Linked DNA regions of Nothobranchius furzeri. The protein of the gene in region 1 interacts with the protein of each later gene in a pairwise test. Links are inferred from orthologs where the notes say so. Each region holds a gene or a part of one and is shown on either strand. Other genes may lie near its edges.

Region 1 (3,753 bases):
TCAGATTAATGAAGACACTAGCCAGTTACTTAGGTGGTTTCTGAACAAAGCCTGATGGTTTAAAACGCAACAGTAATATATTTTCTGGACTGGATATAGCCGATTTGATCACTACATTTATTTATTTTTTTTCTACTAGATTTGCTCAATTTGATCAGTTCACACGTTTTTTATCTTGTTTCTGTTTAAATTAGGACATGTCATGTAGTCCAAACACAAAATGGCAGTGAAATAATTCAACAGCTTCATCACAAACACTTTATATAAGAAAAACTGTCAGTTTCCAAAAGGCTTCAGATTAGCGAGTTAAAACGAAGGATTTACATGAAAGTTGCACATTTGAGAATAAACTTTTTATTTAACCACCTATGTGCTAGCATGTAAACCGGCGCCCTCTGGTGGACAAAATGATCATCTACAGAGCAGAACTGAATTTATTCTAAGTCACATAATTAGAAAACGGATCACTAATTTTTTCAAATATTAAGTCCTAATAATGTACAGCGGGAAAGGTGTGTATGTTCTAGATTAAATATGAAAATGAAGATTCTGAGTCTCAATTTAAAATTTGAACTACAAAATGTCCTCACAGACACACTATGTTATTTACATCAAACCTTTTTTACTCATCAAACGATCAAAGACAACTAAAGAAAGTCGATCTGCTTTGACAACTGATGAATGTTTGTACTCATAATTTACAGTTTGACAAAAGCAACATACTTCTACCATCGGCACACCTACACTTTTTCAAGAGGAACTTGAGCACATTTGAATTGTGATCCAATTTCCATTTAATTTGAGCTTTAAGCAAAGAATTAGGCAGAGAGATAAAGCCGACCCAAAGTTTGTACCCTACAGCAGCCAGAACAAGAAAAGATATTCCCGTCACTCCGTAGAGTCAACCAGTCTCCTGTGGTTACTGGCTGAGCTCCTTGAGGCTGCGCAGTGAGCTGGCGCAGCTGGTGATGAGGCTGCAGAGCTGGATGCTTGCCTCAAGTGAGGATGAACTCTGTAACTGGGTAGTGGCCCAGCGAAGTTTAGTAAGAACTGCTTCCTCGGCTTCCTGCAGCACAGGTCGTAGAGCGGCGCTCTGCGGACTGACAGGGGTACGAATGGGAGCTACGCTTGGGCTGGAGACAGGAGCTGAAGGAGATGGGGCGGGAGGTGGAGGCAGGAGGGCTCTTCCTCCAGCAGCAGCGCCCTCACAGTGCTCTGGTCGGGGTTGAGGAACCGTCACCCCTGCCTGACTGCTGCTGCAGGGTGTCTCGTTGAGTTGAGAGGCTTGGGTCGGTGGAGGGGACTGAGCTGCAAGCTGCTGCTCTCTCACCTGAGACAATGCAGCCTGAGCATTCAGAGCTGGAAAACGGAACAAAGAGGTGGGACTGAAATATGAACTGGAGAGATTAAATCCTAAAGACACCACAGAGGAACCAGCTGCCCTTTTTTAGGGCCTAATGAGCTCCAAAATCAGGGGAGAGCAGACACAACTGGCGCTCACCAGGGTTATCTTTGTCGATATCAGAGTCCAGCTCCTGACACGAGACACAGTAGTTCTTCTGCTGCTTGTCCTGTAGAAGAATAGTCTGAAAACACACACACGAATACACACAATCACTTATATAGCCATAATTATGTTTTATAATATTTGTTACTACTTCAACTTCAGGACAAACTACCAGAGGCCCAAAAAGAACAAAAAAACACCACTTGAAGTCAGTCAACAAAAGATGTTTGGACCTAGAAAACAGTGACCGGTGTTTAGCGCCATCTCTTTTCCTCTGGCAATGCAGGTTCCTGTTTCCGGCCAAGGACAATCGCTGATGGGAGGGGTGAGCGTTCCTTGACAGTGTTTGAGTTTAAGCTTAGCTTGTTTTGAAGATTTGCTTTTACCTTTTTTAGTGTGTCATTACAACAAAATGATAACCGCAGTTCTCTTAAGGTAATTTGAATAAGTCAGTAAGTAAACATTTTGCAAAAATACTTTCATAAAACAAAAGATAAATTCCTTATTAATGCTTAGGCTCTGTCCTCAGCAGGGAGGCCACAGAGAGGTGCAAGATTGCTGTCAGGGTGGCACTGGCCCACCCTGGACCCACCCCAGAACCGCCTCGGGCCTGAACTCACCCCGCAAGCATCGCAGCACTCCCCCAGCATCTTGTAGCCTTTTAGAAGGTAGTCTCCCATCAGCTTGCTGATTTTATCTTGCCGTTCCCTTCGAGCTTGGATCACCTTCATCTCCGCCTCACATGGAGGTTCCCACTCAAAGTCCTCTTCATCTGCAGGTCAGCAACAACGGAGTAAATTAACTGAATCGCACCAGTGCAAAGCTACACAACCAGAAACACAGCTTTAATATTTACGCGTGGTGATTTATTTTCTCGTTGTTTGGCTGAATTTTTATCAAAAGGGGTCAGGAAATGACAAGTTAGCCAGAAATACAACGCTGTTATCGTGGAGATAACACTTTCCCCGGTGGCGATGAAAAATATTACAATAAAAATAAAAATACCGCAGAAATCACCGCTTAAATGAGTGCCAAACGACGTAAGACACTAAAACACACAGTGAAACGGCAAAGTTAGCAAGGAAATAACAGTTAAGTTCACATACCTCCATTCAAAGCCATGTTGCTTCAGTGCTACACGTTCTGCGTGATGACATCAGGCGCTGTCGTCGACTTCCTCTTCGTTCATCAAACTGAAACCATGCAGCGGGTTAGAGCGCCCCCATGTGGGGGTGATGCGCATAGACATGTAGACACCCGGCGCTGGAGAGCGTCACTGTGTCGCCGCCATATTGGATGGGTCTCCTTACTGTCCAAAGTCAATGCAGAGTGGACAAATTTGCCCGTTTTTTCCAGCCTACCATAGCTATGTGTATATAAACCATCGACATATACATGATATAAACACTAGTTGGTGAAAGCGAGAGTTGAGGGCGTAGCTAAACGGCGGCCATCTTACCCCAGACAACAGACCTCTGCTCTCAATGGTAGCAGCTGGAAGGTGAGCGATCAGCTTGATGTAAAACAATCTTTACTCGATTAAATATTAACACATTTACAAGCGATTTGCCTTGATACAAACCTTAGAACACATAGGCTTGAGATAACATACTTGCAAATGTTAAAATAAACGGTTTTGCTTTTGAAAGTGACTTAATTGTGAACCATGTGCCCCACCTATAGGCTATTTGCGTGTTATTCAGGTTGAGACCACAATAAGTAATTTATTTGGTTTTACAAAACCAATAACGATTTTACGACAGCCAATTATTTTTTGTCCAAATGGCTGTGTTTGGGGATTTATTTTTTTATTTTTTTGTATTGGCACTGGAGCCTATCTCCAGCAGTCAACGGGCATACAGGAGGGGTACACCCTGGACAGGTAGCCAGCAATATATATATATATATATATATATATATATATATATATATATATATATATATATACATACATAATTTAGCCTTAATCTATTCCTGTTCTGTGAAATAGGTTTTGTTTAGAGATGTTTCAAGATTATTTTGAGGTAAGCCCACATAAACAGAACACATATGCAAAATGTGCACCCCAAAAAATAAGACAACCAACATCCAAATTACATCGGTCAGCTAGAATGGGCCGCCAGCAATAAAATGTAACCCAGCTAATTATTTTGTATTTTCACTATTTCTCGACCTATTTATTGACTTTCTTTTATTCTGTCATGAATCGTGTGTTTGTCATGTGTTTATATACATATCTATGATTG
Region 2 (3,514 bases), on another chromosome or scaffold:
AAACGAACCTCTTATGACCGAAAGACCTCACAGAACAAACTACCTAGAGACTCTACTCAAAGACCTTTTCCTCACATTAGATCCTGCCACGGAACCCGTTTCTGCGACGGTGGTGCGCCATCTAGCGGTGAAAGGACTACATCTAAAACTCGTTGAGAGGGTCCTGGATTACAAAGGATTGGGACATGACGTCACTGGGATTACTGTTGGTGACGCAAAAGAAAGATTTATGTAAAATTAAAGCCCTAGGACCCCCCCCCCCCCATGCTCACCAAAGGCTAATCAGTGCTAAACTGACTTTTCTTGTTGGCAATAATTAAAAATAAAACAAAAGCTTGTTTGGGGGAGGGGCTTCTTTACCTGCCAAGATGCTGCAGCTCCACGAGAGAAACCAGGTGCAGCTCTGCACCCTCATCACACTGCAGACATCAAAGGTGCTATTACGTGTTTTAGTGCAGCTCATTAAATATTCTAGGGATGCTCTGCGCCTCATCACCTCTGGTCAGGATTAACTCAACACCACCGTGCATCTTGTTTCACATGTAACGTACTTCCTGTTATTAAATAAAAGAAAGAGCCTCGTCTTTGACTCGGGACAGGAACACACCACCTCCTGAAGGATTTCAGCCGTGAGTTTATTGATAAGAATGGTCCAATAAATAGATTTGCAGCCGTTCACCGGTGAGAGGTTCGGGACTGCTCCTAATTCCGTCAGTAAACCTGCCAGATTACAGTGACTGACCAGCTCTCCTGGCCGTTGTTCTTCAGAACATCTCCGTGACCACAGAGGATGAACGTGTGAAATGCTTACGGAGACAAAGCTACGAGTGAAAAACAGAAAAAGGAAACAGTCTGGACTGATTCATGAACTTCTCTCATTTAATCCAGATTAACTCTTAACCTGCAGCTTTCCGTTTCTGGATCTGACTAGAACCGGGTTTGGTTTATGTTGCGTTAGTGGGCGTGTGGTCTCCCGCGGCCCCGCCCCCTGCCGGCGCCTCCCGGAGGCCCGTCCATGCTGCTGCGGGGGTTCTTAATCGTCTCGTCCACAGACAGGATGAGGCACGCCGCCTCCGACGCCGCCGTCAGGGCGTTGATCTTCACGATGGACGGTTCCCAGACGCAGGCGACGAAGTTATCGGCGATGTCCTCGCTGTTGATGTCCACACCGTACCAAGTACCACCCTGTGATGACAGACGAAGCAGAAAAACCGTCATTTAAACAAAACCAGCACCGCCGTGGGGTTGTGATCAACGTGACCGGGGCTTCTTCCGTCCCACCTGTGCGTGTTTAGCGCGCAGCTTGTTGAGGATGTTGGTGGCGTCAAAGCCGGCGTTGTCACACAGCTGTCGGGGGATGATCTCCAGGGCTTTGGCGTACGCTCCTATCAGCAGCTGCTGCTTCCCGGGGATGGTCCTCGAGTAATCCCTCAGGTACTTGGACAGCTCCATCTCTATGGCTCCTCCGCCCGCCACGACGGAGTCATTCTGCAAAAGAGGCGCCAGCAAGTCAGGAAACCGTGGGACCGGGTCCAACAGAAACCCGCTCGGGACTAGAGGTTGTTAAACACGATGAAGATTCTCTATTTGAGACCAGAGCTGCTTGATTATTGTGGTTAATGTTTAGCTGGGAAACACGTCTGACCACACTTTCTCACTAATTACACCACAGTTCCATAAAAACGGTCTAAAATGTTATGAATAGATTTTCAGTTCAAAACTGAAGTAAATGTCGTCTGGATGAGTTTCCTGTTGGGGCTCCCACTCAGATCACGCTGGTCTGAACTAGGGTTGTCACGGTAACCGGTGTAGCGGTAAACCCCGGTAAAAAAGTTGACAATAATAATAACCGTCTTGTTTTTAAAAAAATGTATTATCTCGGTGGATTACCGTGGCTGCGGTGTAGGCGCGGTGACCCTTACCAGCCACCGTATCATCTGCTGAAGTTGCCGGCGGCACATGCGCACTTTGTTGTTTACAACCAAAACTTTCTTGAAGCTAAAGCTGAAATAATGGCCAGAGGAGGAGACGGCAGTGCTCAGGACATTTATTATCCCTCAAAGAAGACAAAGTGGGAAGTACGGGCATCTTTTGGATATCTGAAGAATGCCGAGGGACAGTTGATAGAAGACGGCTATCCTGTTTGCAGCACGTGCAGAAAAAGTGTCTGTGAAAGGCAGCAACGCTTCAAATCTCATGACACATCTGCGTGACCATCACCCACAACTCTACAGTCAACGCAAGGCAAGCTAACGTTAGCGTTTTAGCTAAAATGCGTGATCCGAGGATTTGGGTTGAGGGAGAATGCAACGAGTCGCTATATAAAGCAGCCGCAGCGCCGCTACCTGCATATAAACCGTGTCGCGGACACCGCCATGTTGAAATGACGCTATGCATTACGGGGCTCCCAGGGGCAGATAAGAGTTGGTCTCTCTCCGAGAATAATTATGAATTTAACAACGATTACTGCCTGATGACATTTTCCCACATCTGCAAAGCTCACTGGAAGGACACAAACCGAGGACAATATTTTCCTGATGTAGGGTTTATTACTCAAGTAAGGGTAAAAAAGTATCTGAGTAGAAGGCTACTTGAGTACTGAGTATCATCTGATCTAATACTTTTAAAATGATGACATCAAACTAGGGCTGCAACAACGAATCGATAAATTCAATGAAAATCGATTACTAAAAGCGTTGGCAACGAATTGCGTCATCGATTCGTTGGCTAAGAGGTATGCTATGATGTAAACTGGTACATTATGATGTCACAATGCTGTCGTGAGCCTGAGTGTGTGTGTATTTGTTAGCGGCTCCGCCCTCTTGGTCTGCCAGGTAACAGCATTTGTTGCATTTTTCAAACATGAAGTGGGAGTGGAGTTAGACTCTGGTAGGGGTTGACTTGCTCTTTAAGCTGTTTAACTTGGACCAAGCATTTTAGGTCACAGATAGATGTAGCTTAGGGTCTCTGTCTATACACCTTATAAGACAATTTAGGTGATGGCATGTTGTTTTTCTGCTATTGAACTGTTTTCTAATAATGTTGTGTTAAATAAAGTGAAGGAAGGAGAGAAATAACGTTTCCCTAGCAGTTTTTAAAAATGTCCCTATGTAATCCGATTAATCGATTAATCGTGTCGAGACCCCATCCGATTCATCGATTATCCAAATAATCATTTGTTGCAGCCCTACATCAAACAGACAAAAAATAAGAAGTTATGGGCAAATATTGGTATTTTAAAGACTAAAGGGGAAAAATGTAAACAAATAAACAACATAATTACAAAATAACACATTTTAGGCAAAATTTAGACACAAACTGAGGACAATATTTCCTGATATACAGGGTTTATGTAGTTGTCTGAAAATGTAACGTGTTTAAAAAAATACCGGGATAATTTTGGTCACAATAACCGTGAGGTTACATTCACACACCGTGACAACTCTAGTCTGAACCCCTCGTCTCGGCCGACGGTTACCCACCTGCCTCTTCACACACAGGAGAGGCTGCAGCA

The links.
Region 2: the proteins of znrd2 (region 1) and cct7 interact in binary tests that used the Homo sapiens proteins (3 or more experiments, as listed by UniProt). The two-hybrid records come from large-scale screens. The link is inferred for Nothobranchius furzeri from reciprocal best matches to the Homo sapiens genes ZNRD2 and CCT7.

Annotation. Positions count from the first base shown.
Region 1 is NC_091750.1:56,222,173-56,225,925, forward strand, and holds znrd2 (protein ZNRD2), read right to left. Parts: upstream 2,709-3,753; 5' UTR 2,630-2,708; coding exon 2,614-2,629; intron 2,280-2,613; coding exon 2,128-2,279; intron 1,587-2,127; coding exon 1,502-1,586; intron 1,360-1,501; coding exon 920-1,359; 3' UTR 631-919; coding exon of another isoform or gene 618-630; 3' UTR 245-617; downstream 1-244. Other genes in the region: leucine repeat adapter protein 25-like, read right to left, coding at 618-630. UniProt on the Homo sapiens protein: Might play a role in mitosis. Antigenic molecule. Could be a centromere-associated protein. May induce anti-centromere antibodies.
Region 2 is NC_091754.1:61,263,169-61,266,682, reverse strand, and holds the end of cct7 (T-complex protein 1 subunit eta), read right to left. Parts: intron 1,489-3,514; coding exon 1,282-1,488; intron 1,186-1,281; coding exon 955-1,185; 3' UTR 615-954; downstream 1-614. UniProt on the Homo sapiens protein: Component of the chaperonin-containing T-complex (TRiC), a molecular chaperone complex that assists the folding of actin, tubulin and other proteins upon ATP hydrolysis.